Linked DNA regions of Alligator mississippiensis. The protein of the gene in region 1 interacts with the protein of each later gene in a pairwise test. Links are inferred from orthologs where the notes say so. Each region holds a gene or a part of one and is shown in the gene's direction. Other genes may lie near its edges. The genes, in order: TRIM42, HOXA1, YWHAQ and KLHL38.

What was found.
Region 2: the proteins of TRIM42 (region 1) and HOXA1 interact in binary tests that used the Homo sapiens proteins (3 or more experiments, as listed by UniProt). The two-hybrid records come from large-scale screens. The link is inferred for Alligator mississippiensis from reciprocal best matches to the Homo sapiens genes TRIM42 and HOXA1.
Region 3: the proteins of TRIM42 (region 1) and YWHAQ interact in binary tests that used the Homo sapiens proteins (3 or more experiments, as listed by UniProt). The two-hybrid records come from large-scale screens. The link is inferred for Alligator mississippiensis from reciprocal best matches to the Homo sapiens genes TRIM42 and YWHAQ.
Region 4: the proteins of TRIM42 (region 1) and KLHL38 interact in binary tests that used the Homo sapiens proteins (3 or more experiments, as listed by UniProt). The two-hybrid records come from large-scale screens. The link is inferred for Alligator mississippiensis from reciprocal best matches to the Homo sapiens genes TRIM42 and KLHL38.

Annotation. Positions count from the first base shown.
Region 1 is NC_081830.1:46,934,875-46,942,420, forward strand, and holds the start of TRIM42 (tripartite motif-containing protein 42), read left to right. Parts: upstream 1-4,545; 5' UTR 4,546-4,657; coding exon 4,658-5,022; intron 5,023-7,029; coding exon 7,030-7,546.
Region 2 is NC_081828.1:156,072,966-156,080,792, forward strand, and holds HOXA1 (homeobox protein Hox-A1), read left to right. Parts: upstream 1-4,811; 5' UTR 4,812-4,974; coding exon 4,975-5,629; intron 5,630-5,814; coding exon 5,815-5,898; intron 5,899-6,111; coding exon 6,112-6,467; 3' UTR 6,468-7,559; downstream 7,560-7,827. Other genes in the region: HOXA2 (homeobox protein Hox-A2), read left to right, coding at 39-778. UniProt on the Homo sapiens protein: Sequence-specific transcription factor. Regulates multiple developmental processes including brainstem, inner and outer ear, abducens nerve and cardiovascular development and morphogenesis as well as cognition and behavior.
Region 3 is NC_081824.1:31,109,740-31,117,341, forward strand, and holds the start of YWHAQ (14-3-3 protein theta), read left to right. Parts: upstream 1-4,588; 5' UTR 4,589-4,701; intron 4,702-5,004; 5' UTR 5,005-5,081; coding exon 5,082-5,375; intron 5,376-7,602. UniProt on the Homo sapiens protein: Adapter protein implicated in the regulation of a large spectrum of both general and specialized signaling pathways. Binds to a large number of partners, usually by recognition of a phosphoserine or phosphothreonine motif.
Region 4 is NC_081826.1:20,462,944-20,470,388, forward strand, and holds the start of KLHL38 (kelch-like protein 38), read left to right. Parts: upstream 1-4,431; 5' UTR 4,432-5,378; coding exon 5,379-6,728; intron 6,729-7,445.

The DNA of each region.
Region 1 (7,546 bases):
TCCACCTCTGTGCTGATGAGAAGGATGTTTCCCAGCCTATAGGTATGCTGCTGGTTCCTTCTCTTTAGATGAAGTACCCTGCACTTGTCTGCATTGAATTCCATCCTATTCTCATCTGCCCATCTCTGGAGTACAAAGGAGTACATCAAAGGAGTACAAAAAGCACGTGAGGGCTCTAGCATGAATGTGCCTCTGTGAAGCCAATGGGAGCTATGGGAACTTTGCAGGGTAAAGCCCATGAATTGGGGAAACCAACAAAATCATAGTTTAACTGCTGTGCACTTTCATCATTAAGTGGCCTCTTGGCCAAACCATGTTGCTGAAAAACTGTAATTTTTGCTCTGGCAAAAGGAGCGATTAGATGTTTTAGTATCTGCTAATGGTGAACAAACGTGGATAAAAAAGAATGGGTCAGTCTCTAAACCTGCTGCATATCAAAGCAAAGGTCTTAAGGCAGTGTAGTCTATACACAGAGTATAAGAAACAAGAAAATGAAAGAAGATTGGAGAAGCAGCATATAAACAGGGTAACAGAAAAGGTATCATCACTGGCATATCACAATGTAGAACAATAAAAGATGATGAAGATAAACAGTGAAAAATATATCCGAAGACAAAGACAAGAGAAATAATGCAGCAGAGAAGGAGAATGTATTACAGAGAATCAAAGAATGGGGAATCTTGGTCAGAATGACAGGCATGAAAGATGGCTAGAAAGCGGGGAAATAAATATCCAGGAGTTGGTTGCAGCAATCAAATCTTGTCATATCAAGATTTTGCTTTGATCTGAAACTTGACACGTAAGATGAGTAGCTGCTTTTTTTTCCCTTCTTTTTTAAAATATCTATTTAGGAATATCTGAATTATAAGACTGAAAAAAGCAGCAAGCATTAGTATTACAAGATATGCTTTCATGCTCATGGAATTCAAAAGTGTTTTAATTTTCTAAATTAAATATGCACAAAGAAGAGAAAAGAAAGCTTAGCCATCAAAGGAACCTGGGGAAATAAAATGTAAAAACCCACAGCTACTAAAGGTCTGAGTATTTGCAATAAATTATTTTGCTCAAATATTCTAGAAAGATTTTTCATACACAGACGTAGTACTTCTACTTCATTGACACAATAGCCCATAACCATTCCAAAGGCTCTATTATGGTCCATCATGTAAATGGCCGCCTATAATGACTGAGCCATTATGGTCTATTGGGCTATGGATCAGGGAATTAAAAATTCTCTAACTAGAGTAGGTTTTGTGCATATAGGCTCTAATGGCTACAAAGGAGCTGTTACAATAAAGTATGCCAAGATGCGTGCCTTAATAATTCCCAAATTAGGCATTAACCGATTAACCCAAGCTAATGAATATTTTGCATTTTAAAGAAACTCTTAATTACCTACAGTAAGTACAGTGATCACCATTAAAAGCCAACACTCACCAACAGCTACCATACAGTGGTCACTCTTATTTTCAGTTTTGAGTTGAGGAATAAAGTACTCAACCCTAAATGCAACTGCGTGGTAACTGGTGTCAATAGTTTTGTAGTAATCAGTGTATCAGTCTGTTAGTGTGTGATGCTTAGAGGCTTTCAAGTGAGGCACCAATACAATTTTAATGTTTTAAGTTAACTTTTTCCCTTATGTTTTCCTTTCCACTCCCTAAGGTAAGTAAACAGTATAGTTTAAATTTGAGAAGATAAAGATTTATAAATGTCTGAAGTGGGCTAATACAAACCAATGAGCACAGAATCTGTGAAAAATGCTGTATCACATTGCATTGATGTAATCTCAGTGAAGTTAAAAAAACTCTATGCCTAAACTGTTGGAGACTACCATGAGAGAGGGTTGGCGCCAGTGCAACCCTGTTATATCACTTTCAGATAATTCCTTTGGTCAGTCCTTAGAGGAGAGAGTGCAAGACATTGTTCAAGAGAAACCCATTGTCTTATGAAAGCTTGGCAGTGCTTGGCTCTACAGGGATGCTTTTGCAGTAATTACTGACTAGGAAGATATGTGACTATCACACAGCTTCACATATAATCAGTTTAAAATATTTTCCTGTTCTCCCCGCCTCACAAACCTGCCTCTTTCAAAAAGGTACATGGCTTATCTCTTTGGAAAATGTGGATCCCACTTCTGAGGTATGGGGATCATAAGCACTGATCTCCTTCATCACGCTGCAGTGCAATGCTGTATAGTGGCAGCTAGTCTACCATGGGAACCAGAAGGAATATAGCTGCATCAGTACAGGTTAATCTATCCTGGTCAAATCCCTCAACAAATATCAGCATCAATGGACAGTCTACCTGAGAGGATTTAATCCTCCCAAAATAATAATCTAATTAACAACCTCTTTGGCACTTTGGGATGGCTGGGAGTGAGGTGCTCTGGTACAGTCCTGTTGAAATTATTCCACTTTCCATTATATCATGCACTAGGAAAAGAGATGGAAAATGACTACAGTCACATAGATCATTCTCAGAGAGAAGGAGAGAGCAGGGTTCTAGCCCCTGCTCTACTAAATATTTAGCATAATATAGTGAAATATTCAGTAAGGTAAAAACTTGAACCCAAGGTTTTCCTTTGTCCTGTGAGCCCCTGACTTACCTATTTTATGCTAAATATTCAATAGAACATAATTTTCCCTGCTGAGTATCCTAACTAGTAGGCAGAGGTATCATACTCACTTTCTTTCCTGCTCTTCTAGCACAGTAATTTTCATAGAGGGGCCATATCAGTGACTCCATGGCTAGTTTGGAGAAGTCTGATACAAAAGGTGTACTCTGAGAATGACTACTAGTGAGAGAAGCAAAGGAACTTGTAGTTCATGAATGCTGATTTATGCCTAAGATAGGTGCTGACTGAGCCACTTGTTATTGTCAAGCCTGAGGTGTTCTTGGGCATGCCCAGAAGAAGACTTTTAGGCTTCTAGGAAGCTTCAGTACCAGAAATATAGGTACTTTCACATTGTAGGCAACTCAAAAGTTAGAAAGCAGCTGAGCAGTATTTTGGAGAATCTATATTTTAAGCTTTGGTGTCTAAAGTTGCACCTGAAATGTAGCTATAGAAACGTGCATGCAAGCATTTGAAACAAAGTGCTGTAGATGGCTCTTAAAGATACTCAGCTTATAGTGTCAGCTCATAGTTGAGCTGATTCAGGTATTCAGCTCATAGCTGAGAACTGATATTACAGCTGATGTTGGAAAATATAAAATTTTGGTTTGACCACATTATAAGACATCCTGCTTTGGCCAATAGAATACTTAAAGGAGAAGTGAATACAAGGAGAAAAAGAAGCTGGCCAAGGAAAATGTAGATACATACTATTACTGAGGCCCTGGAGAGATTTTACATGCAAGACATGATTAACTGGTTAATCATGTCTTAAGTAGTGACCTAGCCACACGTTCAATAAATTAATAGCATGATAAAATCAGGAACAAGCCACAAAATGATTACATAAAATATGTGTAATAATTTTATGGGTGGTTCTTTTTATGCCTTTAATTGCATGTGTGGCCACTGGCCAGCCTCTAGTGCACATGGGAGCCTGTCAAGACTCTTGTATGCTCCAGACACTGGGAGGCACCTCAGCTGATTGGGGCTCCCAGCCTGGAAGTGCACCATGTACATGATGTGTTGAAGCCATGCTTGCTACTTGCTGAGGCAAGGGGAGCTCTGGTTCAGGCTCCTCCTCCACTGGCAACATAGCAAAATGGGATCTGATGCACCTCCTGCCACATACATGTGACACGGCGGAAAGTAAGTTGTGGTATTATTCTTGGATCTAGGCCAATAGAAAACAAATTTCAAAATAAGGCATTGAATGAGCTCTTGAAATAAATGGGGATCATACAAATGGATAAATGCTGAAAGTGTCTCCTCTGCAAAAGCAGATAGCATTTCTTTTATCATGTATTCCTTTTGAAGCTATTTAATCACTGACTGAAAAGGACAGGGAGAATCTGGAAGTAGGTGAGGTAGAAAAGTAGAAACCAACACTGCTTTGTTTCTTAGGGTGTATCAACAGGTCACCTGCCCTGAGAAAGAGAAGACTCCATAAAATGTCTTTCTCCCACCACGAAGGAAGCAAGCGAAAAGTCTCTATGTTCTCTCTGTGGTAAGGTGGAATTAAAATTTTCATCAAAACCCCAGGGATTCTTTGGCACACAAGAAATTCTGGGGCATGTGATTTGAATATGTAATATTTTGCACATATTAAATATGAACTTGAACAACCAGTGAAATATTAATTGTTACTTATTTTTATATCAAATTCATTTTATTTCACGCTGCTTCCAAATTTTCAACATGTTCCAGAATTCTACATAACTTGCATTGGCTGTTGGGGCAATACGTGAATTTGCCAGCTTAGATATACTAGTGTTTAGTGCCAGTGGAAGAAACCTGAAAGGCAATGCTTAGCAACTGTGATATAAAAAGATAATCAAGTGAGTAATGTACATGTGCAAATATGGCCATGTTCATGCCCTTATTTGGAATCTCTTTGTGATGTCACTATTAGTCTCTAACCAGAGAAAAAAAATCCACCTCTCCTCCAAAGCACAAAGCTTTGAAGAGGGGAGTGCTGCTGTGTAACATAAAGTGAGGACACGCTGAAAGGCTTGGCAAGTGGTCTTCTAAGTGTCTTACAGGGTGATGGCCAGGACTTTATGCTTATGTTGCTTATTTTGGCCATGTTGTCCAGGCTGCCATTGCTGTCCGCCGATCTTAACAAAAGAAGAAGAATGCTGCTTATGTTGGCGTTTTTTATTTACTGAAGAGCGGAATTGCAACTGTTTTCCCTGCGCTTACCATGAAGATCGATCTTGCCAGTGTTGCCATTGCACATGTTCAGAGAACCCAAATTGTATTTGGTGCTGCTGCTCTTTCTCAACTGATGAAGACTGTAAGTGTTGCTGCTGTGCCACCGATGAGAATACCGTTTGTCAGTGTTATGAAAGCACATGCTGCAGAAATGTTGCCCATTCACCATACCATCCAAGAATCCCAAGGAGAAATCAGTAAGTGAAACCAAAGCCTGTTTTTGAAATTCCTTCTTTTTAAATTTATATTATGGTCTATTAGCTCTGTGGAATTTAGGGGCAAAATTTTGGGCACCTTTTTCTCAAGGTGTTAGACATGGCTGGAAATAGTGATAATGCCAGACTGAGCCAAACCAAGAAAGAGGAAAGGAAAAAGTGTGGAGTATTCCAAGAAAACAACAAAGTAGACTACTAAAGAGAGTAAAGTGCTAATCAATTGTAAATGAGGGAAAGGATTATAGTTAGGGGGAAGAGAAAGAGGAAGAAAACCAAATATATTTTTTAAAAAGTGCTCTGAAGAGAATTGGAAGAAGAAATAATATTACAAAAAAAGTATTACTAATTTTAGAGATTCATCTGAAGAGCATATATTAAAATGGAGACATAACTACTGACTAAGGCAGGCTGAGGATGGAGGAGGATTGCTCAAACATGGAGGGATACATGACTGTGTCAGTGCTTTTTTCTGGGACTAAAAATCCTGGAGGTTCATAGTGAGAATGTCTTACTCCTCAACCCAGGGTCAGACTAATCACCACATTTGAGATCAGAAAGGAATTTTACCATACAGCTCAGCATGGGCACTGCATGTATGTGGAGTGGATGGGGGTTACCTCCCTCCATACCTCTTTCTATAGCAGGGACCATAGGCCCTCTTCCTTGGATCCGTCTTGTGTTTAACAATTACTTCCTGTGCTTGTTGTGGCAGGATACTGACAGTGCCCTTTGTCCCCGAGCTTTACCTGTGGCAAGTGAGGCAGTTTGGGGATTGTGTCTGTTAGTTGTGCATGATGTTTTTTACGCAGTTTTAAGAATAGCTTATGGAGACAGTTGGTCACAGTTTTGAAAATGAATAGTGATTTTTGTGTACCTGACTGGAGACATATTAAAATAGCCTTGACTTTCAAACTATAAATGGTCAACATTTCTGAAAACTGGGTAACTTTGTGGCATTCCAAGCTGTGTATCTCAAGTGCAAGAAAACTTACAAGCAACTTTTGATAGTCTTAACCCTAAAAATCTAGAACCAGTACCCAGGGTCACATTGGAAGGCCAATTCTTACCACCCTCCTAAATAAAAAGAAAGCTGTGCATGAAAATCAGGAGATGGAAGATAGGCAAGGGGTTTTCTTTTCTTCTCCACTGTATAGTAAGTTTACTGACAAATGCAATTCCAGACAGACCAAACCTATAATTAATAAAAAAAGTTGAAAATGTTAAAAAAAAGTTTTGATATTTTTTAATTAAAGCATGTATTTTAAGAAATAACTCTCAATTTAATACTTTCAGAATGAAACATTCTGACTTTTACTTTCAGCAAAACATTCTTCATTTAAAAACTGACAACAATAGTAATAATAAAATGGAGTATTTAAAAAAAAACAACTAGGATATCCTGAAAATGATACAAACCAATTCATTTCAGGTTGAAAGAAAAAAAATCATGCAAAACATTTCAATTTAAATCAAAACATTTCAGGTTTTCCCATTTTAAAGCAAAAATAATCCCAAAATGCTGGGAAATCCCAAAATGAGGGAAAAAATATTCTTTAGGTTTTTTCCTCCTGCTTGCTATCCAAACCTCCCAGAAATCCATTATTCTGCTCATTCCCAATGAACTATCTGCTTATTGCATATTCTGTTTCCTGTCTATCTATTTGTATCATATCTTTATAAAAATGTAACGAAATACACAGGTTATAAATAAGGAATAAGAAAACAAAATGCAGATGTTTGTTTGTGTTAGTTTGTGTAATGCTTGCAATATAAATGCTGGAACTGAAATGGATAGTTTCATACGTATTGGCTAAGTAGAGACAGTCAAAAAGCTTATTCATAAGTATTCACTGGGGGAATAGAGGATCATACCCATATTTAAAGTGTAAGATATCTTCAGTAAATAATGCAAAGCTATATATATATATTACAGCCTGTTTCTTAATGAACATTTGGAAGCTGAGAAGATCTTGTTTCTTTCTTTTTCAGTTCAAGGCTGTCTTTACCAGGCCCTGGAACTACAAGTGATACATCTGTCATTACACTGGACAAGGATGTCTCAGGGCATAGTTTTCGTGATCAACTCACCTGTCCAGCGTGTAAACAACTGTACCTCCACCCATTTATGCTTCCCTGTAAACATTGTGTTTGTGGGGATTGCATAGGTAAAAGGAGGGCCAAGGCTGAAGTGTCTGAGAACTTTTTCATTCTCATATGCCCAGTGTGTAACAAAGCACATTGCCTTCCCTATTCTAATAAAATTCAGCTGAAGAAGAATTTACTGAGAGCCAAACTGGCTAAGAGATATATGCAGAAACATGGCCTTATCAGGTGGAGATTTGACAGAACTCAGACATCAATTTATTGTCAAGCTTGCAAAGAGAAGAAAAGAAAGGCATCCAAAAGATGTCTGACATGTCAAATGAATTTTTGTAAAGAATGTCTCAGTTTATATCATAGAGATGATTCTGCTCAAGAGCACATTTTTACCAAAGCCTATCAAGAA
Region 2 (7,827 bases), on another chromosome or scaffold:
TGGCGTTGTTTGTTTGCCTGTGTGCTTGCTTTTTGCAGACTCCCTTGAAATCCCCGATAGTGGGAACGGTGGCTCCAGGAGGCTGAGGACGGCTTACACCAACACCCAGCTCTTGGAGCTGGAAAAAGAATTTCATTTCAACAAGTATCTCTGCAGACCGAGGAGGGTCGAGATTGCAGCCTTGCTGGATTTGACTGAGAGACAAGTCAAAGTCTGGTTCCAGAACAGGAGGATGAAGCACAAGAGACAGACCCAGTGTAAGGAGAACCAAAACAGTGAGGGGAAATTTAAGAGTTTAGAGGACACCGAAAAAGCAGAAGAGGAAGAGGAGAAATCCCTCTTTGAACAAGCCCTCAATAATGTCTCAGGGGCTCTTTTGGAAAGGGAAGGCTACACTTTTCAGCAAAATGCACTATCTCAACAGCAGGCTCAGAATGTACACAATGGAGAGTCCCAAAGTTTCCCAGTTTCGCCTTTAACAAGCAATGAGAAAAATCTGAAACATTTTCAGCATCAGTCACCCACTGTTCAGAACTGCCTATCAACAATGGCCCAGAACTGTGCAGCTGGCCTGAACAATGACAGTCCTGAGGCCCTGGATGTCCCTTCTTTACAGGACTTTAACGTTTTCTCCACAGATTCCTGCCTACAGCTTTCAGATGCAGTTTCCCCCAGTTTGCCAGGATCTCTGGACAGTCCTGTAGATATCTCTGCTGACAGTTTTGACTTTTTTACAGACACACTCACCACAATTGACTTGCAGCACCTGAATTACTGAGAAAAGTCAAGACCTCCTCTCGCCAAGGGTTCTGCCTTCCTTTTTGAAATGACTTAATTTTATTTTCCTTTTTCCTGGTCAGTATTTTCTGTTTCTTAATTCCCTTTGCTGTGTTTGAGAGCCATTTTACCGTTTCTTTTGGAGTTTTAGTTGTGTTCAGTTTAACCTAGCCACATCCTAGGTCCTTCTATGAAAGCAATATCTGAGGCCTGTAAGAAAGTGATCATATAGAATTGTATCGTCACTTTCTTTTTATTTTTGTATTGCATTAGGATGCGTTGTCATAAGTATTTTTGGTAGAATAAATTCTTGTTTGCTACAAGTAGCTTTCTCTTTTTCTTCCACCCTCTTTCTTCCTCACCACTGGTAGTCTAACGGGTCTGCTGCTGCTGCTTTTTTCCTCCTCCCCCTCCTAATCTAACTTCGGAAATAAAATTAAACAATCCGCTCACAACCTCTCTCCTTTTGGTAAAGTGACATATTTATTAGAGAGAAAAAGCACATTCCAATTCTTTATTGAAAGGATTCTTACAAGCAATAATTATTATTATTATAAAGCCTGCGCTCAAAGCTTACACAATTTCCTCCTTTTAACCTGGGCATATCTCGAAGAGCTTCTATTATCTGCGTGTGAATACAAATTTCGGGTTTTCTAGACTGTAACAAAACAAAAACCAAAAAACCCCAAACAAACAAACGTGCAGCTCTCTCCGTTACAGACCAAATGTAATCCATAGGAAATGGCAGGAATGCTTTGCTAGAGACACTGGCCTCTTGCTGTAGTAAAAGGCTGGGTTAGAAATTGCTAAGCTAAACCTCCGTGCGTCCAACAATTCGTTTTAAGGAAAACTTCTTTAAAAATACAAGCACAGTGCGCGATTGCTTAGCTCCCATGTGCTGAACGCGTCCGAGAAAACAAACCTACAAAAAAAAAAAAAAAAGGAAATAAAAAAAAATACAAGTGTTATTATTTGGGGGTGGGGGGGATAGGACTGCATTTCGGAAGGCTGTAGACTGTGCTAACGCGATTCCTCCCGGGGCTCTGCGGAGGCAGGGAAGGAGGCTTTTTCTCCATAAACCTCTTTGCGGTTGCCAAACTCTTGCTTCATTCGTTTAAATTTCAATGGAGCCCACTCAGCAGCCCGCTGCCCCATTCGTGGCGCGGTATAAAACCCCCACAGAGGATTGCATTGGAAGACCCGTCGATATTTTTAACACAGCCGAGAGTGCTAGGGCCAAAAATCAAGCAACAGATGGTGGCAGGGAGAGTTGCGGTTCCCAGAGCCAGGCGATGGCGCGGATCCCCGTGTGTTGTGTCTGTGCGCGGGGAGAGCTGGCCGGCGAGGCGTCCAGTTGCGCGGGGCACTTTATGTCCTCTGCCTGCGAGGAGGGTGGTTTCCCCGCTCTGCAACACGTTGTGGAGCTGGGTCGCGTGGGTAATGCCTAGAAGGGCTGGCCGCGATCCTTCCTAGCCTCATAAATCAAACTCTCTCTCTGAATGAGAATGTCATCAAAGAGATCAATTGCAGGAACACATGCACAAATAAAAACCCTCTTACGTATGTGCCGGGGCTGGGGATCCCCGTCTAAAACCATTAAGTTAGAAGGCGTTTAGTCATAATTCATTTTTATTGCTCTTTTAAAACAACAGCTTGGCTGGGCTGCGGGTGCGGCACACCTCTCCGGCCTGCTCCTGCTCCCTCTCCCTGCTCCGGCTCTCTCGGCCCAAAAGGGGCTCGCTCCCTCGCCTGGGGGGAGGATTTTAACTCCTGTTTAGCTGGACTCGTTCAGCTCCCACTGGACCGATGCCCTGCAGGCACCCCGGGCCTGGAGGTGGCCACGTCCTAGTGAGAGATCGGCCGCCCTGAACTCTCTTCCCCGATCGCTTTGCAAATCAATACATCTCCGCGGAGCGATTGTCTCCCGGGGAAGCCCTGAAAGCTGCCTGGGCGCTGGGGGCAAAAGACGGGGGGTGGGGAGGTGAAATGGGGAGAGCGTCAGAGTGGCGCCTAGGGCACCGGGAGGGCAGCAGTGGCTTGGAGATGCCCCCCTCGAAACCTTCTGAGATCTAGGGTGAGGCTGGGGGCGGCGTAAGGGGGAACAGAGCTGGCATAGAGCCCTGCTCTGAAGGCTTGTCTCCATTTGCCCCTACTCTGCCTCCCCCACCTCATTGTGCCGCGCTGGAGCAGACACAATGTAACAAAAGGGCGGATTTCTTCCCCACCATGGCGAGGAAAGCGAGGGCAAGGCAGCCGGGCTGCGGCGGGGGTGTCCAGCTGAGAGAGGGACTTGGGGGTAGCAAGTGATGAAAAGCGGGGTAATGCCTGGGGTGGTAGGGGGGAGCCAGCTCTCCAGTAAGCGGTCCCTGTGGCTTGCCTCTGCCCTGATCTCCACCCAGCTGGGGCAGGCAGAGGAAGTGCCCCTCCAGCCTTTTCTGGAGCCACAGAGGCGGAGTGCAGGCCGCCTCGTGCATCTCAGGGAATCCCCTGCTTCGCCCCCCCGCCCCCAAGCCAAGAGTGTTGAGCAACTCAATGGCTCCAAGCGGCCCTGGCCTGTTCATGGCGGTGCGGGAGAGCAGCCCGGAAGGGGGAGGGCGGCTCTTTTGTGCCTAGCGGGTGGAAGGGAGACATCTACCCGCTTCCCAGTGGCAACAGCGGGGCTGCGGGGTGCAGGGCGGCGGGCGGAGGTGGCCGCACAGGGGCACAGACGGCTGTGGAAAGCCGATCCCGGGGGTGTGGGGGGTAGTGGGTGAGGGGGAGAGCCAGGGGGCAGGAGCCTTTGAGAGTGAAACCAACAATCGGGCAGGGGGCCAAGGCAAAATAAGGCAGGGCTGAAGTGCACCTGCATGCCCCCTCCCCCCGAACCCCCCCCCCCTCAGGGCGGACTTGGCAAAGAGGCAGCTGCAGCCTCCCCCAGGGCACATCTCTCTCTACGCATCTCCCTGGGGCTGCGGCCGGGAGAGGGGTCCTCTCCCCGCGTGTGCATTTGAGCACGCCCAGGCACAGGCAGGGGAGGTATCCACACCCACGCGTGGATCTACGGCACCTGGGCCCTGCTTGTCTGCATGTGCCTGTGGTAGCGCACTCACACACCAGTCCCCATCCCCACCCCCGCACACGGACCCGGCTTTCCCTAGCTGGACAGAGGGAAAGTTTGAGCCCATCTTGGGGGGGCGTCCCCCGGGAGCCTCCGCCACTGACCATCTGCTGGCTCCCTGCGCTCCCGCCCCATGACAAAGCGGCTCGCAGGCTGACAGGGGCCCCGCTCCCCCCTCCCCTCCCCTCCCCTTCCCTTCCCTTCCCTTCCCCTTCCCCTCCGCCCCGCCGTGTCATCCGGGGCTTGCGTCTGTCTGCGCCGCGGAGCTGCCCCGGCAGCTGGGCTGGGGCGTGCGTGTGCACGCTTGCGGGGCTGAGCGTGGCACAGCCCGGCCCGGCCCGGCCACGTCGGCAGCCCCCCTGCAGCTGGCGGCTGCCCGGGCACAGGGAGCCCCGCGGGCTGCCAGGCACCTCCCGCAGCACAATGGCGTGCGATGACCCAGGCGCCTCATTGCCATGCTAATGTCCGCGGGCTGCGCAACCCCTTTAACTCTTGGCGGCGCAGCGCGGGAACACTCCCCCCCCCCGCCCTGCCCTGCGCGCAGCCCCTGCCCCAGCCAGCTGGGCCCCGCGGAGGCTGCCGCAGGATTGGGGAGGGGAGGGGGGGGGTGCTGGCTGCACTGACAGCGCCAACAATAGCAACCACGCACCGCCCCGCGCCCGGGGAGCGGGGGGCCCGCAGCGGCCCCGGCTTACCTGGCAGGCGGCGTCCTCCAGCCCTGTAAATCCAGGCAAGAGCAGCCCCCCCCGCGCCCCCCCTCCGGAGGCTGCTGCGGGCTGAGCGCCTGGGCGCGCACTGTCTCTCCGGCCCCGGCTCGGAAGCCCCAATGCACAGAGTGGGGGGGCGGGCGGGGGAGGGAGGTGGTGGTGGCTGCGCGTCACCTTGATGGAGGAGCGCTCGGGATTTAAATGCCACTGAAACGGTGATCCATCACCAGCAGGAGCTGGGAAAGTTTAGCAGGAGGCGCAGCCATTGGCTGCGGCCCTCACGTGTCCCCAGCTCCCTGTGCATCCATCTCGCTTTTCTCCTGGCCCCATGGAGGAGGTGAGAAAGTTGGCACGGGCACCCGGGGCGCGGAAGACCCGGTCACTCCGTGACAGATGGACACGGCGAGGATGAGCTCCTTCCTCGAGTATCCCCTCCTGAGCGGGGAGGCTGGGACCTGCTCCGCCCGCGCCTACCACCACCCCGAGCACGGGATTACAACTTTCCAGTCCTGCGCGGTCAGTGCCAATGGCTGCAGCCCAGGGGACGAGCGGTTCCTGGTGGGCAGGGGGGTCCAGATCAGCCCCCCCCACCCGCACCCACACCCGCATCCGCACCACCCCCAGGCGGGCGCCTACCAGCACCCCGGCAGCCTGGGCATGTCCTACTCGCACCCTAGCTGCGGCCCGGGATATGGCAGCCAGAACTTCAGCGCGGGGTACAGCCCCTACTCCCTCGGCCAGGACGCAGATGGCAGCGGCGGGTACCCCCAGTGCGCGCCCGCGCTGTACTCGGGCAACATCTCCCCTCCCGTGGGCCAGCAGCACCCCCCCCAGCACAGCTACGCCGCGGGCTCGGCGGGGCCCGCCCAGTACATGCACCCCTCCTACGGAGCCGAGCAGCAGAACTTGCCCCTGGCCGGGTACAGCCACCCCCTGTCCCCTCTGCACGCCAGCCACCCGGACACCGCGCGCTCCCCCTCCGCAGAGACCTCGCCTCCAGCGCAGACCTTTGACTGGATGAAAGTGAAAAGAAACCCACCTAAAACAGGTCAGTCGCAATCAAAGTTTTGTTTTGTTTTGTTTTGTTTTTTGGTGGTGGTGGGGGGATTCTCTCCTCTTTCTCTCTGTTTTGGAGCAGCAGACACAAGGCAGAGCGCCCCCCCCCCCCCCCCCCCCCCCGCACCTGTGCTCCCCGTGGCCTGCTGTTTATCTGGATTTTTATTTTTTTTACAGGTAAGGAGATCTCCGGCAAGGCAGCGCGGACAAGTTCACCCCTCTGCCATCATGACAGTCCAGGCTCTTATTTCCGCCCCCGTGGTAATATGTCTTGCGATTCATAGCCCACTCATCAGGCTTCCTTTGACACTAGTGGCTGGCTCCAGCTTAGCACGACCCACTCCATCACTCACTGCCGGGCTCCCCCGCATCCCGAGGAGTTCCTGCTCCATATCGCTCTGCCCGTGTGTACACATTGATTATGTCACCTCTAAATCATCGCACTTGCTTAAACTTGCCCTATGCTTTTCACAGGGAAGGCGGGAGAGTACGGCTACGTGGGGCAGCCCAACACGGTGAGGACCAATTTCACCACGAAGCAGCTCACGGAGCTGGAGAAGGAGTTCCACTTCAACAAGTACCTGACCAGGGCCAGGAGGGTGGAGATCGCTGCTTCGCTGCAACTTAACGAGACGCAGGTGAAGATCTGGTTTCAGAACCGTAGGATGAAGCAGAAGAAAAGGGAGAAGGAGGGCTTGCTACCCATTTCCCCGGCTACCCCCACGGGATGCGAGGAGAAAGCAGAAGAGTCATCAGAAAAGTCAAGTTCATCCCCGTGCACCCCTTCACCAGCCTCCTCTACCTCAGACGTCCTTACTACCTCAAACTGACACATCCCTGGGCCCCACCCTATAGCTACATCTTTAGCGTACCCTCATTGATTTAAAGTAAATATATATTTTTAAATATTCGGGTCATCCTGACGTTCAAATAACTTGTTCCGTGAGCATTTGGGTTTAGAAATACCCTCGGCTGTTTATTTAATGCAGAGCTAAACACAATGGGTTCTAATGTCAGTTTTTGATGACCACTTAATTAACTAGTCCTACATTCATTCCTTACATTCCAGCAGGAGTTGTGAGTTTTTTTTGTTTTTTTTTTTTTGTCTCCTTAGCACATTTATAAGGGTCTCCCTGTTTCCGGAGAGCCAAATTGCAAGGATGTTTCTATATTTTTTCCCCTACAGAAACACAAAGCTATCGAGAGTACATGACCTCATGATGAGATGCACTATTGAAAGTGTTTACACGAGTTATAGAACTTTCATCCATTAATTTAATGCGTTCTCTTTTTTCGTGTGTATGGGTTTGTTGGTTGTAAATACTTTGTCCAAGAGATTTATCTTTTTACAGATTTTCTAGAAATGATGTTTAGATTAAGCAGGGTGGGTACATTCTCAAAACTGGATCCAATTTTATAATGGTAAACCTGATGATATCAGTTAAATTTGCAATCAGATACCTCGAATTGTAGCACCATTTTTTTTTATGAGACAGAAGAAGGCTTCAATTGCACTAGGTTTTGTAAACCTTACTGGTGTGCTCCCCCTCTCCTCCCCCTCCAGAAATCTGTGCTGGATTATATTGGACCTAAAACGGTATTTTATCCCCCCCAAAAGACCTCACCTATTCCTATTTTCAAAGTAATCCTTCCTTCGAGTTGATGTCTTTTCAGCCTAATCGTAAATGTGATGACTGGCCAAATGAATGTATATTTTCTGTGATTCGTGTATGGAACTTTGCATGATGCACAATGCTTTGATGTACTGAAGGTACACTGAGTTCTATCAGTTGTCATTTGTGAGCTAACTATCTTTCTGATTTACAATCATTAAAGGTTCTGCGGTTCTGTGAGTGATGGAATCCAGAGCAGAATTTACGGGTCCTAAAATGTCTGTAATAAATATATTCAAGTTTCAGGTACACGTTGTTTTAGTGCATGTGTGACGTCATTGATCACCTACCTAGTTAGCTTCCTTATTCTCCTGGCGTGGCCTTCGAGACGCTATTCAATAAAAGACCTTTCTCCTACTCATTATTTTGCTGAGGCCAGGACTCTTGTGTGTCCTTTCCACAGCGCCCAGTATGCGGCATCGCACCAGCCTGGGGGGTGTGTGTGTGTGTGTGTGTGTGTGTGTGTGTGTGTGTGTGTGTGTGCGTGCGTGCGCGCTCGATGACGACAATATTAACA
Region 3 (7,602 bases), on another chromosome or scaffold:
CGCTTCATTTGGTGACATCTGTTTCTAGCCATAGATAAGGCAGTTGAATAATGCCCTAGGGTGGTGTTTTCAAACTTTTGAAGTCACAGAACCCTTTCATATCACATCTTTTGCAACGGAACCCCTACCCCAGCTCCGCAGCCTGAGCGAGCTGACATGGAAGCAGGTAACCTGGCCCAGCGGTGGCGTCTGACCCTACCAGCTCACTCTGCCATTACCCCCAGTCTCTTTGCAGAACCTCTGATGACCTGTCACAAACCCTAGGGTTCTGCAGAGCACAGACTGAAAACCATTGCCCTTGGGGACTAGACAATCTCCCTAGCTTTTCTTTTAGGTGATTTATATACTGCCCTCTGATAGAGTTCATATGGAATTCTAGGCAAGTGGCATAAACCAGAACTGTAATAGCACATTTTCTGTGGCTTCAATGGGAGACATCTGGAATGCAATTTGCAGAAGTGCTAAGCCTCACAGCTGTGAGTGAAGTCAGCAGAAGCTGGATAGTGAACAAAAATGGTGCTACAAAACACTGGAATCCTCAAATTTGGCACCCAATCATGTTGACACTTTTTACTTTTCTGGTGGCTTCTAGCCTGAAACATTATTTGGTTAAAAATAATTCTTATCATACTTCACAAGGGCATGGTGAAGATACATTTAGTACTGTCTGTGAGAACCAAGATACTCTGATGCAGCATCTTTGAAAAGCTTGTAAGGAAATTTACAAATCTGTTTTCAGTGAAGATTTTGGATGGTGCACAGTAAACAGTGCAGAAAACTGCATGTTGTGCCATAAGGTTAAAAAGAAATACTGAATTTTTATTCCTGTTCCTATTCTTGAATTCCATCTAGAAATTTCCTGGGTCATCAGATCCAGTCCCTGGCTTCCACAAGCAACCACATCACACAATCCCTTTCATAAGTGCCATCTTAAAAACAGTTAGGATTTTTTTGCCCCAGTACTCCTATTAGGCTATTCCAAAACTTCACTGTTCTGTTCAGAAACCTGATTTCCAGCCTAAATTGATTAATGACCACTTCATATCAGTTTGTCCTTGTGCCCTGCTGTCCTGTAGTTTAAGTAGTTCTTTTCTGTCCCTGGTGTTTGCTTTCCTGATGTGTTCAGAACAATCATTTCCCTGCTAGGCCTTTGTTTTGCTAGGATAAACAAGCTAAGTACTCGTTAGTTTCCTTTTGTGAAGGCAACACATTCAGTGAGGGCTATTCCTCCTGTGCACCATGGGTAGAAATAGAGAGAGTATGTGCTCATCATGTTGGTAAAACTGTCTTGGAATTCAGACACACAAGGAGACTGAATTACTCCAAATGGGCCATGTTAAGACTTGGGCCTAATTTCAAGTAGCTAATCTTCAATCTTAGCCCAAATACTAGATCAAGAATATCACATGATGAACAATACAACATTTGGGAACTTCAAAACCTCTCTAGTGAAGAATTCCGTCAGTTTATGCAGCAACTTTGCAAAGCACTAACTAGGGTAATTAGTCCCTGGGCCTGCAAGCATGTATTTGCACCACCCTTGGTGTAGATTAGAAGCCTTCCTTTATTTTGAATAAGATGATAAAGCATAACTACATTGTCTCCTTACCTCTCCATCTTAGGATCATGCTATACCAATGCCTGTCTAGAATCAACTATAAGAAGGTAAAGTGGATTTGCATCTTATAGACTAACCAAAGAAAAATATGTCCATATAGATATAGCTCTTTGGATAGTCTATAAGGATGTGTTCAGAAGTTGCTTTTTTACCATTTAAAGAGCTTTATTGTTGTGACTTAACAGCAGTGCATGACTTTACAGCACTTTAAAAATGGGTAGAGCCCTTTAAATTAACCCTTGTTAAATGAGATAGTAAATTTGAAGCACAGTATTTTACAGCACTTTAGCAACCTACAGCACTTTAAATAACTTCTGTACTCTGGTCAACTTTCTGACTAATGGAGAAGCCCCAGGAAGCTCAGAGCCCCACCTCCCCAACACTACACTTCTGTCATATTTAAAGGTGCTGTAACTTTTTAGTCCTATAAAAAGTGCTTTAAATTAAAACCTATATGGAGCACTTCTATACACACCCTAAGGTGCAAATTTAGCCTGCCTTCTACTTGACTTCAGGATAACATAGATAACTGTCTCTAGAACCAACTATGCCAAAGCAGGTCCATCAGGGACACCCAAGTTGTATTTTATAACATATATGCAAGACTGGGGGCATCAGCTGCCATAATTAAATTCTGGATGGATGATACTTTATTACTCTTGATTTAAGTGTATGAGCCTGAAATGCCAGTCTTTATCTACTGATCCTGGCAACCTCTTGAATATTAATTCCAGGTGAAACCCATAGAATAAAGATTTTGATTCTTACTCAAGCCAAATGTAGGACTTCTTTCTGCCCTGTCTTCCCTAGCCCATTACCAATGGGATCAAAGAAACCTAAATCAGTACAACCAGGCACTCTGTCACCCAGTCTCTTTATCCCAAGTGCACAGTAAATGTTGCTTTATCTTCTTGGCCATCCTAGAATGGCCCCTGAAGAAATTCAGCTGAGAAAGTTAAAAGCTCTTCTGGCCTAGTAATTCCTGTCTCCTAGTCCACAGATGGAAAATAACCCTTCCAGTTCCTGTCATTAGGTAATGAAATGGAAGAATTTTTCCCATCCCTTTTCCAGCCTTTCGTAATCTTGACCTGCAGGAAACCTCTCTCACTCCAGACTCAGTGAACAGGGCCAAACTCCATCCATCCTGACAATCTCACCCTCCCCACAAGGTTGTGTTTTAACTCATAGCATCATCCCTGTACTACTTGAAATGGGATGACTGGTGACACAGCCTGGCACTTAGAACAGTCTGCTTGTCTCCATTTACTGTGTGGGTCTCTTCCCTTGGTCAAGGGAGAAGGATAAACCTATCCACATAAGTCTCATCCTTCTTAAAACACCTGAAAGACCTAAACAGCTCCACTCAGTCTTGCCCATAGCCGCCACATCCCAGAGTGGGGCCAGGATCTAAAGAGGGTGAGGTTCCTTACTGCTATGTGGAATCTGCCAGTGGGCAGGCTAGGCTTCAGAGAGACCTAGACAAATTGGAGTATTGGACTAAAATAAATTTCACAAAGTCCAATAAGGACAAGTGCTAAGTCCTGCATTTAGGATGGAAAAATCCCATGCACTGGTACAGGCTGAAGGCTGACTGGGTGGGCAGCAGCTCTGCAGAAAGGACCTGGGGGTTACAATGAACAATGAGCTGAATACGAGCCAGCCGTGTGCCCTTGTTGCCAAGAAAGCTAACGGCATAGTCAGCTGCATTAGTAGGTGTGCTGCCATTAGGTCAAGGGAAATGATTATTCCCCTCTATTCAGCACTGGTGAGGCCACATCTGGACTACTGTGTTCAGTTTTGGGCCTCCCACTACAGAAAGGATGTGGACAAATTGGAGTCCAGTGGGAGGCAAGAAAAATGGTTCAGGGGCTGGGGCACGACTTCTGAGGAGAGGCTGAGGGAACTGGGATTATCTAGTCTGCGGAAGATTTAATGGTTTATAAATAGGGGGCGGATTTAATAGCAGCCTTCAACTACCTGAAGGAAAGTTTCCAAAGGGGATAGAGCTGGACTGCTCTCAGTGGTGGTAGATTGCAGAACAAGGAGCAACGGTCTCAAGTTGCAGCAAGGGAAGTTTAGGTTAGATGTTAGGATGAAATTTCTCGGGAGGAGGGTGGTGAAGCACTGGAACAGGTTCACCAGCGAGGTGGTGGAGTCTCCATCCTTGGGGGTTTTGAAAATCCAGCTAAACAAAGGCTTGCCTGGGATGAGGCAGTTGGGGCTGGCCCTGCGCTGAGCAGGGGTTGCACTAGACCAGCCTTTGTCAACCTGGTCCCAGGAATATGTGAAAGGATCAGGAAAAAAAAATTAAAAAATGGATCAAAAAATGGATCCTCCTTCAAAAACGTGGGAAACCGCGGCATTTCCCTGGCAGAGCTGCAGCTGCAAGGGGCTGCTTGGGGGCCCCCTGGCCCACACACTGGGGGACGCGGGTCGGCACTGCCCATCGCTGTTTGCCAATGGGGCCTGGTACAAAAAATGTAGAGAACGGCTGGTCTCTTCCACCCAAATTATGACTCCGTGACCGCTCCTGCCCGTCCTCTCCCGCTGTGCACCCAGCACCCGCCCCGCCGGAGCTGTCCCTCCCTGTGCTGCACCCTGCACCCCCCGCGCATGCGCAGCGCCCAGCCGCAGCACGAGCCGCCCCCGGCCGCGCCCCCGCCAGTCTTATGCCGCGACCAGCGCCGGCTGCCGGGGAGGGCGGGGGGTTGTAGCAGCATCACCATGGCGACAGTGACGTCAGCTCACCCTGGATCTCATTGGAGGAAACCCCGTGGCCCCAGCCGCAGCCCACGGGCCAACCGAGCTTGCGCCCGGCCTGCGCCCGCCCCCGCCGCGGCGCGCTGCACTCCGATTGGCCGGCTGAGCCGCGGGGGGGCGGGGCCCGAGCCGGAGCCGGCCCTCCCATTGGCCGCGCGGGCGCGGGGCTGGCAGCGGGGAGGTGAGGCCGTGCCAACGCCCTTTAGCGCTGGCTCTAGTCTGAGACGGGAGCGGCTCTTTCTCTCCGCCACCGCCCGAGCGCAGCGCAGCGCGGCCCGCCCGCTCCTGGCGCCAGCCGGCCCGGCCCCGCGCAGCCGCTCCAGGTGAGTCCGGCCCGACCCGGCCGTTGGGAGCGGGAGCGCCCCCCCCATCCCATCCCCCCCCCGCGCCGCGCCCTCCATTTTGTGCCGCGCGTGCGGAGTCTCCGGGGCCGCGGGCGCGGGAGCTGCCTCCACGCCGCCATTTCGCGCCGGCGCGGGGTCTTCCCCTCATGTTCCCTCGTGGGGGGGCCGGGCGGCCGAGCCCCCGCCATGCGGACACACGCGGCGGGGCAGGGAGGGGCGGGGGGAAAGGAGGGAGGGGCCCGACTTCCCGCCCGCCCGCCTAACCCGCGCCTCCCCCCGCAGGAGCTGAGGCGCGTTGTCCCGCGGACGGTGTCGTAGCTGAGGCTCCCTCGCCCCTGCCCACCCACCTGCCCGCCACCATGGACAAGACCGACTTGATCCAGAAAGCCAAGCTGGCCGAGCAGGCCGAGCGCTACGACGATATGGCCACCTGCATGAAGTCGGTGACCGAGCAGGGTGCCGAGCTGTCCAACGAGGAACGCAACCTGCTGTCCGTGGCCTACAAGAACGTGGTGGGCGGGCGGCGCTCAGCCTGGAGGGTCATTTCCAGCATCGAGCAGAAGACGGACACCAGCGACAAAAAGATGCAGCTCATCAAGGACTATCGGGAGAAGGTGGAGGCCGAGCTCCGGTCCATCTGCACCACCGTGCTGGTGAGTTTGGGGCGCCGCTTGCTACGGGTTGGGTTGGGGGGAGTGGTCCAGAGGTGGGTGTCATGTACTGGGGGGCCCTGCCTGAACAATGCAGTAAACCTGTCAGACCCAGGGGTGTGAGGAGGGGAGATGAGCTGCATTGCACTCTGACACGTGTGTGTGTGGGGGGGGGGGTTCATGAGAGCCACATGCAAGGCACCGACTGGATCAGGGATGGCAGGGGGATTGGAGCTTAGGTGTGCCTGTGCCTTTGTATTGGTAATCTTCTGGGTGGGTAAAGGAAGACCGGGAAACTATTCTCCTTCCCCTTTTGGTATGGGGTTGATGGTCTGTGAGCACCCGGAAGGCTGGGTGTGGTACCCAAACTGCTGCAGGGTGCTGCACTAGCAGTTACGGAAAAGAGATGGAAGAGTAGAAGACTTAAATGAAGCATGACTGCTCTGTGGGGGGGTCGTGAAGTAAAATATGTGGTATGTGGCACACAGCTTCTTAATTGAAGACATCAATGCAAATCTGCAGAAAACTGGCTGTTGTCACGTGCAGGTATCCTCTTCGCATTGCTTTGTTCCATGGATGCAGTAATAGTGGAATAATGTGGAAGTTGAAAAGGTCTGGAGCCTGAGAGAGGCTGTGGATGAGCGTACAGATGCCAGGAATAGCTGTCTGGCTCCTTGAACAGTGCACTAGACTTTTCTTTTTTGCTGGTGCTAATATGCTGCATTGTGGTAGGGGCTGAATTTGTGTCAGCAGTGCGGAAGGCGCACCGCCCTGTCATATACAATCAATGTAAGTTCTGGCTGCACAAAACTAGATGTGTAATGCAGTTTAGAGTTTGTAGCAGATAACCTTGACCACTTCATTAGCACTAAAATAATAGCGGCTAGTACTGTAGGTATGTTAGGACAGGAAGAGGTGAATAGCAAATTCTTAGAAAAAAAAAAAGAAACAAAAAAGAAAATTACTATTTAATAAATCATTAACACTGCCTAAATAGTGCTAGGAGACCTATATTTAAAGCTAACCATCTCAATAATAATTGAAAATCAAATTAAGTCAGGAGTTCCAGTTCGCTGACAAGGTGCCCCTTTCTAGATTTGTCCTGAAAATATCCATGTGCTTTAGTCTGCGCTTCCTCTTAGACCAATTTTAATTCAGGAAGAAAATTTTAATGCCACAAAGCATTCTTCAGATGCCAAGTTAATAGTTTCATCTTCTGCAATTATAGGCATAGTTAAACTTGTTAAATCTTTACCTTTTTTTTAATAATACCTCAACTCATGTGAAGCATGGGTTTAGACTGATTCTTGTTTCATGTGACAGAATTCCAATCGGAATAGTGTTGTGTTGCCAACATTTGTACTACTAGTGTTCCTCTTGATTTTTATCTTCCTCTCTGTGAACTGGTCTAGCTAGCCATCAGTTTCTTAGGACTTGTGCACACAACCAGTTTTTCAGACTTCTTAAAATGTCCCTCATGCCTGCTTCTGTCAAACTGAATTCTCAAGAGGGGAGGTTACATGCATTTAAACCATTTTCAGTGTTCTAGTTGCTATGTCATATTAACAGAAGACACTCTGCTGCTCTTAGGAGTTCGGGTTGCTCTAGAAGTGAGCAGCAGCGAGCCATTTTAGCCCTTGCAGGCTAAAATTACTCCAGTTTTGGCAACTGGTGATGAGCAATTGGTGTAGCCACACTAATGAAACTCCTAATATGGGGGGGAAGAGGGGAACAATCTTACTTGCCCTGGCTGAGCTTACCCCACTACTGCTGCATTTTTTATTTTTATTTTTTTGTTTCTTGCTGCACTCAGCTGAGGCTTGGCTGGCAGCTGCCTGCTCTCACAGGGCCCCTAAGACTGCAGGAAATAGGGAAGACTGAAACCTATGAAGTGACATGCTTTTCCTGTTCCACAATCAAAGATATGCATCTTCCTGTAGTGGGAGGGGGTGTCTGCTTTCTACTGCATGAACTGAAACTGCTGCTTTCCCTCCCAGCACCATCTGCAGTCCCCCATTCTGTTCCTCTTTCCCTTTCTTCTTGTCTGCCACTACTCTGCTCCATGAGTCAGCAACAGAGAGATTGAAACTGTCATTGTAAAGAACAAATTTTCCAGTGCTTACACATTAAACAGAGCAGCAGCAAAAAGTGCTCTCAAGAGCTGCCCTCTGCTCACCAAAATTTTAATTTGTTTAAAAGTAAACTGTTATCCATAGACTATTACCAGGGT
Region 4 (7,445 bases), on another chromosome or scaffold:
GCTGGCTGCAGGGAAGAGATACAGCGTGCTGTACCCTTTGAAGAGGTTTCCCAGCTCGGTCTCTGAAGTCCAGGGAGCTCCATCTCCCTTTGTGATTGTGGGTACGGCCCTGCACTGTCCCCACACAGGGCTGTGAATTTGGGGCACTGCCTAACCTCCAGTTAATTTAGCATGTTTTTATGTTGGATACTCAGCAGGAGAATACCACCTGGGGGACAGTCATTAACATGAAGTACATAGCTTAACAGAGGTTTATAATACCTGGAGCAGCGTGTTTTGCCCGCATGAAAATAATTCTGGGAGATCAGGAATTGCAAATGGTGATGCCAAACTGTGGTTACCATAACAGTGTGGTGATTTTGACTTGGCTCTGCCTTTTCGGGACTGCAGCAAATATAAGGACCTTCTGACCAGTTCTGCTTTTGGCTTTAACATCAGGTCATGTAAAAGACTTTTGTTTTTCTTAATAATGAACAGGCTAGTCTGACCTTGTACTGGTACTTATGAACCAACGGTGGATACAATGCCATCCCAAAGAAAGGGGAAATTGTTGAGCAGCAACAGCAAAACACTGCAAATCGGGACACCTGGGTTATATTTCCGTGTCTGACGGAAATCAGCTTGTGGAAGATCACTTGTTGTGTGATCTTCCACAAGCTGCTTCACTTCAGTTTCCCTATCTGCAACCTTCACGTTCCTCCAGGAAGCTTAACTGACTAAGGTTTTTAAAGATAACAGAAGCCTTTGCACAAAAGGTGCTATACAGCTGCAACATCTGATCTCTGATGGCCTGCTGAGTAACATGAAGCACTGCGATAAGAAACTGTCTGGGCACAGGGTTCTGCTGGAATGAGCTCCAGGTAGAAAAGTCCGCTCTAAGGCAGGAGAGGTATGTCCAAGAGCTGTCTTAAACCCGCTTAACAGTTTTTCCTTATGTGGTGAACTCAGTCCAATCAACATCTCCCATGCTCAGTCCCACACCTTAACAGGTAGGATACCAGGACTTCCCCACACCTTTCCTTAAAATAGAAAGGTCTCATCACAAAGTCCTGGGCTAGGGACAGACATTCAAAAAAAGTTTGGGTCCCTGCCAATGGGACAGGGAGGGGGGAATTAAACCCTCTCTGGCCAGACTTCCACCCCTGCCTGCCCCTGCCTGTCTCTGCTCTAGCTGGCATGAACGCCGAATGCCCCCAGAGGCTGGGGGGGGCATGGCGACCACCCACAGGCAGCGGCGGAGGTGGCATGGTGGTGGTGAGTGGGGACCACCCGCAGGCAGCCGTGTTGGGGGGGGCAAGCACTGACCAGCAATCGGCGGTGGCGATCAGGAACCGCCAGCAGATGCTGCTGGCAGTGTCAGCAGCGAAGGGGGAGGGTGGTGAGCATCAGCGGTGCTTTTTGCAGGGGGTGCACCACCAATCTCAGGGGGTGCACGTATACCAGCATGCACCCCCTATGCATCGCCAATGCTGGCTAGGGTGGGGTGGGGTGGGGCCAGCCCTGCTTGGCTGGAGCAGAGAGCCCAGTCCAGAGAGTATGTTGGGATGCTGGTGGACTCTGGTTTAACCAGGATGGAGTCTGGGACAGACATTGCATAGTTTCATAGTTGGTAGGGTCGGAAGGGACCTGAGCAGATCATCAAGTCCGACCCCCTGCCATGGCAGGAAAAAGTACTGGGGTCAAACGACCCCAGCAAGGTGTTCGTCTAACCTCCTCTTAAAGACCCCCCAGGGTAGGAGCCAGCACCACTTCGCTTGGAAGTTGGTTCCAGATCCTAGCTGCCCTGACAGTGAAGTAGCGCCTCCTGATGTCTAGCCTGAATCTATCCTCTGCCAGCTTGTGACCGTTATTTCTAGTCACTCCTGGTAGTGCTTGGGGGAACAGGGACTCCCCCAATGCCTGCTGGTCCCCCCTGACTAGTTTGTAAACAGCCACTAGATCCCCCCTCAACCTTCTCTTGTGGAGGCTGAACAAGTTCAGGTCCCTTAGCCTCTCCTCATAGGGCCTGCCCTGCTGCCCCCTGATCATGCGGGTGGCCCTCCTCTGGACCATCTCCATGTTGTCCACATCCCTCCTGAAGTGCGGCGCCCAGAACTGGACGCAGTACTCCAACTGTGCCCTGACCAGTGCTGCATAGAGGGGGAGGATCACCTTGTTGGACCTGCTCGAGATGCATCTGTGGATGCATGACAAGGTGTGGTTGGCCTTCCTGACCTCATCCCCACAGTGTCGGCCCATGTTCATTTTGGCATCAATAATGACTCCAAGATCCTTTTCTGCCTCTGCACTGATGAGAAGGGAGTTCCCCAGCCTGTAAGTATGCTGCTGGTTCTTCCCCCCCAGGTGCAGCACCTTGCACTTCTCAGTGCTGAAACCCATCCTGTTCTCATACGCCCACCCCTGTAACCTGTCTAGGTCTGATTGCAGCCTATTCCTCCCTTCTAGCGTGCCCACATCCCCCCACATCTTAGTGTCATCAGCAAATTTGAACAGGGTGCTTCTTACCCCCTCGTCCAAGTCATTGATGAAGATGTTGAACAGCGCAGGTCTAAGGACCAAGCCCTGGGGGACCCCACTGCCCACATCCCTCCAGGTCAAAAATGACCCGTTCACCACCACTCTCTGGGTGCGGCCCTCCAGCCAGTTAGTGACCCATCTGACTGTGTAGGTGTCAACGCCACAGCCCCCTAGTTTTTTTAATGAGAATGGGGTGAGAGACAGTATCAAAGGCCTTCCTGAAGTCCAGAAAGACTATGTCCACTGCTACTCCTGCATCTAAGGATTTTGTGACCTGGTCATAGAAGGCCACCAGGTTGGTCTGACAGGACCTGCCTCGAATGAACCCATGTTGGTTGCCCCTAAGCATAACCTCCCCTGCTGGCCCCTCGTGGACATGCGCCAGGATAATTCTCTCAAAAAGCTTACCCAGGATCGAGGTAAGCCTAACTGGCCTATAGTTTCCTGGGTCCTCCCTCCTCCCTTTTTTGAAAATGGGAACCACACTGGCCCTTTTCCAGTCCTCTGGCACCACACCGGAGCACCACGAGTGCTCGTAAAGCCGTGCCAGGGGTCCTGCAATGACCACTGCCGATTCCCTCAGCACTCTGGGGTGGAGATCGTCAGGACCAGATGATTTAAATATGTCCAGCCCCTCCAGAAGTTCCCTGACTAGACCCTCACTGACCCTAGGCCTGGGGTGCACCTCCCCTGGGGCCTGAGGGGGTCCTGGCAGACGGGCTGATCTGTTCCCTGCTCAGGAAAATGGAGGCAAAGAAATTGTTAAATAGGTTAGCTTTGTTATCTGGTGCAACAACCAGATTTCCTAACGTGTCTTGCAGAGGCCTCATGTTACCCGGTACCTTCTTTTTGCCCCCTATGTATTTAAAAATGGACTTCTTGTTGTCCTTCATCCGGGTCGCTAGTCCCAGTCCCATCTCCGCCTTGGCCTTCCTGACCGCCCCCCTGCAGCCCCAAGCTACCGAGATGTAGTCCTCCTTGGTGATGACCCCTCCCTTCCATTGGGTGTACGCCTCCCTTTTAACCAGGAGACGTTCCCGTATGCTTTTAGTGAGCCACAGGGGCTTTTTCACCCTCTTGCCCCCTTTGACCCTTGTTGGGATTACCTCCCTTTGGGCTTGGAGATCGTCGCCTTAAGGAACGACTGCTCTTCTTGGACACCTGACTCCCCTCCCCTCCCCTCTGGGACCTCAGTACCTCCCCAACTATTCTCCTTACCTCATTGAAGTCCGCACTCCTGAAGTCTAGGGCTGCTGCCTTGCTGCAGGCCTTTGCTACCTTGCGCTGGATGGTGAATTCCAGCAGGCAATGATCACTGTCGCCCAGGTGGTCCAGCACCCGCAGCCCCCCCACAAGGTCATCACCTGTGGCCAGCACCAGGTCCAACAAGGCGTCTCTCCTGGTGGGGCTGTGCACCTCCTGGGTTAGTTGGAGGGCCTGTATTTCGGCTAGGAACCTACGTGAGCAGTCAGACCTGGTTTGAGTTCAATCAGTTATGTCTGATAGTACATTCAACCAGGTTTATCTCAAACTGCTTTCAGCCATTTTGCACCTGGTTTATGTGCACTGAACATTTATTCCGTTACAGGTTTAACCCAGTTTCTGGTCACTTAAACTGGTTTATGTGTAATGTCTGTCCCTAGCCTTGTTGCCCCTGTTTTCTCCTCCCTTCGAATGAAAATACCTAACAGTGCATGACTTAACACTAAACATTTCAGGCTGTTTACAGCCTTCTAGAATTCCCAAGCACTTTAGGACAGGGCCTTGTGTCTGTTTTCAAAGAGACAGGCAGGACATTTATAAGTGAACTTTCATCTTGGTGTCTATTTATTGTACGTAAACATTTGTCAGAAAAACAGCAATTGGGCATGCTCGGTACTGTCCAGGTTGTTGCAAAAGGCAACTGCAAAGTCACATGTGATAACATCGCGAAGTCCACACGCAACTATTCTTAGCCCTGGAATGCAGACAATGCCGTGCTGCCGACTGGCTCTTTCACAGAGCTCCCGCAAGCAGCAAAAGTACCTTGAGAATAAACAAATCCAGAAATCACCCTCCATGAATCACTTACCTACCGAAAGGAACGTCTTGTGAGTTTGTAGCTTTTACTCAGGCACTAGCTATGGAAAATCTCAGCAGAGACTAAACGCCATAGAGTGAGTGAATGCAGGGAAGGACAATCTAAGGTAAACATTTCTACCACGCGATTTCCCTGCAGGTTGAGCAGCTGGGTAGTCATGCAAATTGATAGCCGCCTTATTGTTCTGCCTTGTGCATTATTTAGTCATTGTGTGTCTGATTAATATAAAGAAGCAGCCGCTAAGCAGAGTTAATAAATTGCTATTTTAAAGCAGATTCCCAGTCTCTCGGGTTTAGTTTGTCCTGCTGCAGAGTTTAGCTCTGCCAGATTTACATTCTTTGGGCATGACTAACGCTGAGGGAGAGAGACATAAGCTACTAAACTGTGAATACTTCAAAATCGTGAATAAGTGGCTAAGCAAGTTTATTAGATCTGATTGAAGTGAACAAACCATTTGCTTCGGACTTCTAGCTTTCACTGCAAATCAGCAAGATAACGTTAATGCTTTTGCTTTTTATCAGGCTAATAGAAGAAGCTGACTTCAGAGCTCTAACCCATCTGATAAACTTTAAAAAAAGGGTTTTAAGTGACCTCTTAGGCTCTTTAGTCCTTTCCCACTGTGCTTAACTAGCGTTCCCAATTTTATGTGCAGACAGAGGAAAGATATTTAGAGAAACCAAAGTCCTGATCCCTGGTCACTTCGGAGCAGACATTTATATAGCAGCTGCTAAGACTGTACTATCCCTGCCTAGTCCAGCATTCACATCTATCCTGTTTGACCATGGAGGTGGGCTCTGCAGAGGAATTTCTCTTCAAAGACCACGATTTCTCCTCAGAATTGCTGAGGCAGCTCAATGCTTTAAGGCAGAACGCGATGCTGACTGACGTTACACTGTGCACTGATGGCTTTGAAATCCCTTGCCACAGGAATGTCCTTGCTTCAAGCAGTCCGTATTTCAAGGCGATGTTCTGCAACAACTTTAAAGAGAGTCACCAGGCAAAAGTTGACCTGAAAGGCATTGACTCCAATATTTTATATCAGATTATCCTCTATGTTTACACCGGGGAGATTCTTATCACAGCTGACAATGTTTTGTACCTATTTGAGGCTTCTTCCATGCTGCAGTATGTTAAATTGTTCGAGGCCTGCTCTTTGTACCTCCAAGACAAGTTGACTCCTGATAACTGCCTGAGCATGATCAGGCTCTCCAAAATCTTGAACTGCCAAAATCTCAATACGAAAGCCAAGGCAATGGCATTGAAATACTTTCCTGACGTAGCCTCTTCTGAGGACCTGAAAGAGCTTTGTGCCTTCGAACTGATTGACTACCTTGGAGATGATGAGCTCTGTGGTGAGGAAGAACAGGTTTTTGAAACATTGATGATCTGGATCCGGCATGATCTCCAGGCCCGACAGGGTTACATCCACGACTTGTTCAGAAAGGTCCGGCTTCAGTACGTCCACCCAACCTTCCTCTTCCACTTCATTGCCAATGACTCCCTCATTCAGTCTTCACCCACTTGCAGGAACATCCTAGAGTCAGCCAGAAGACAGATGTTTTCTTTGTATAGCACTAGTGCTCCTGACATCAAACCTCTGTGGCATGTTCCTCGTAGGTATTCATACCAAGAATTCCTCATCCTCATTGGTGGCAGGAAGGACAACCAGCAGACAACCAGAGATGTCCTACTATATGATGAAAAGACCAGTCAATGGCTTAGCCTTGCCAAACTTCCTGTGCGCCTTTACAAAGCCTCCTCAGTGAGTCTGCACAGCAATATTTATGTGCTAGGAGGGAGACCCATTAATGACAATAGAAGCCCAATCAGTGATAACATTTATATTTTCTCCCTCAAACTAAATCAGTGGAGGTTAGTTGAACCTATGCTAATTCCACGTTACTCCCACAGGAGCATAGCCTATAAAAATTATATCTTCTCATTTGGAGGAATTGGAGAGAACCAAGAAATTCTGAATTCTGTAGAGAGGTATGACAGCATTTACAACACCTGTGAGAACATGGCAAACATGCCTGTCGCTGTCCTTCACCCTGCGGTAGCTGCTAAAGAGCAAAGAATTTATCTCTTTGGAGGGGAAGACATCATGCAAAACCCAGTCCGTCTAATACAGGTAACTCCTTGACCTGCCCATCTCATTTTCTTGAACATATTCAGTGCGTCTCACCCAAAACTTGCTGATGAAATCAAAGCCCAATGTTGAACCAAATTATCTTCTGTCTCATGCAGTAGATGGCAAGAAACACATGATAAGTTGGAAATGCTCATTCCATGGTGTCCTATATGAAGGAAAATGGTATTTAAATTCCTTTCTTATTTCCAAAAGAAACCTTTATTATTGTCCCTAAGAGCCTTCCTTAAGTTTTATTTCATCCTTTCCCAGGCAAACTCCCATTGGTTTCTTAGAAAGTCTAAATTAAGCCAAGTGAGGGCTTAGCCTTGACTGATTTTATTGCTTTAGAAAGATGTCATATAGTGGTCTTACAAATAGATGCTAAGCCACATGCCTAATATGTGCATCCATTTGAAGTCAGTCATTCTTGTTAGGACCGTGTCTAAGTATCTGGTTGAATCAAGGACTCAGTCATTGGTCTCTCCACTGACATTATCAGCAAAGGCTCTCTTCATGATGGTGGTTATTATGACTGATTTCCTAGTCACTGGGACCAAGGACTTAAATCATCAGCTCATTTTACACCAGCCATTGGTTCTAAAACTGTGGTCCTTGTTGATGGCCTGCAGATTGCCAGTTGGATACTAGGGCTGTGTGAAGCTTTGGTCCCCAATTCAAATCGGCAGAGATTCGGCCTGATTCGGTGGCCAAATCTCT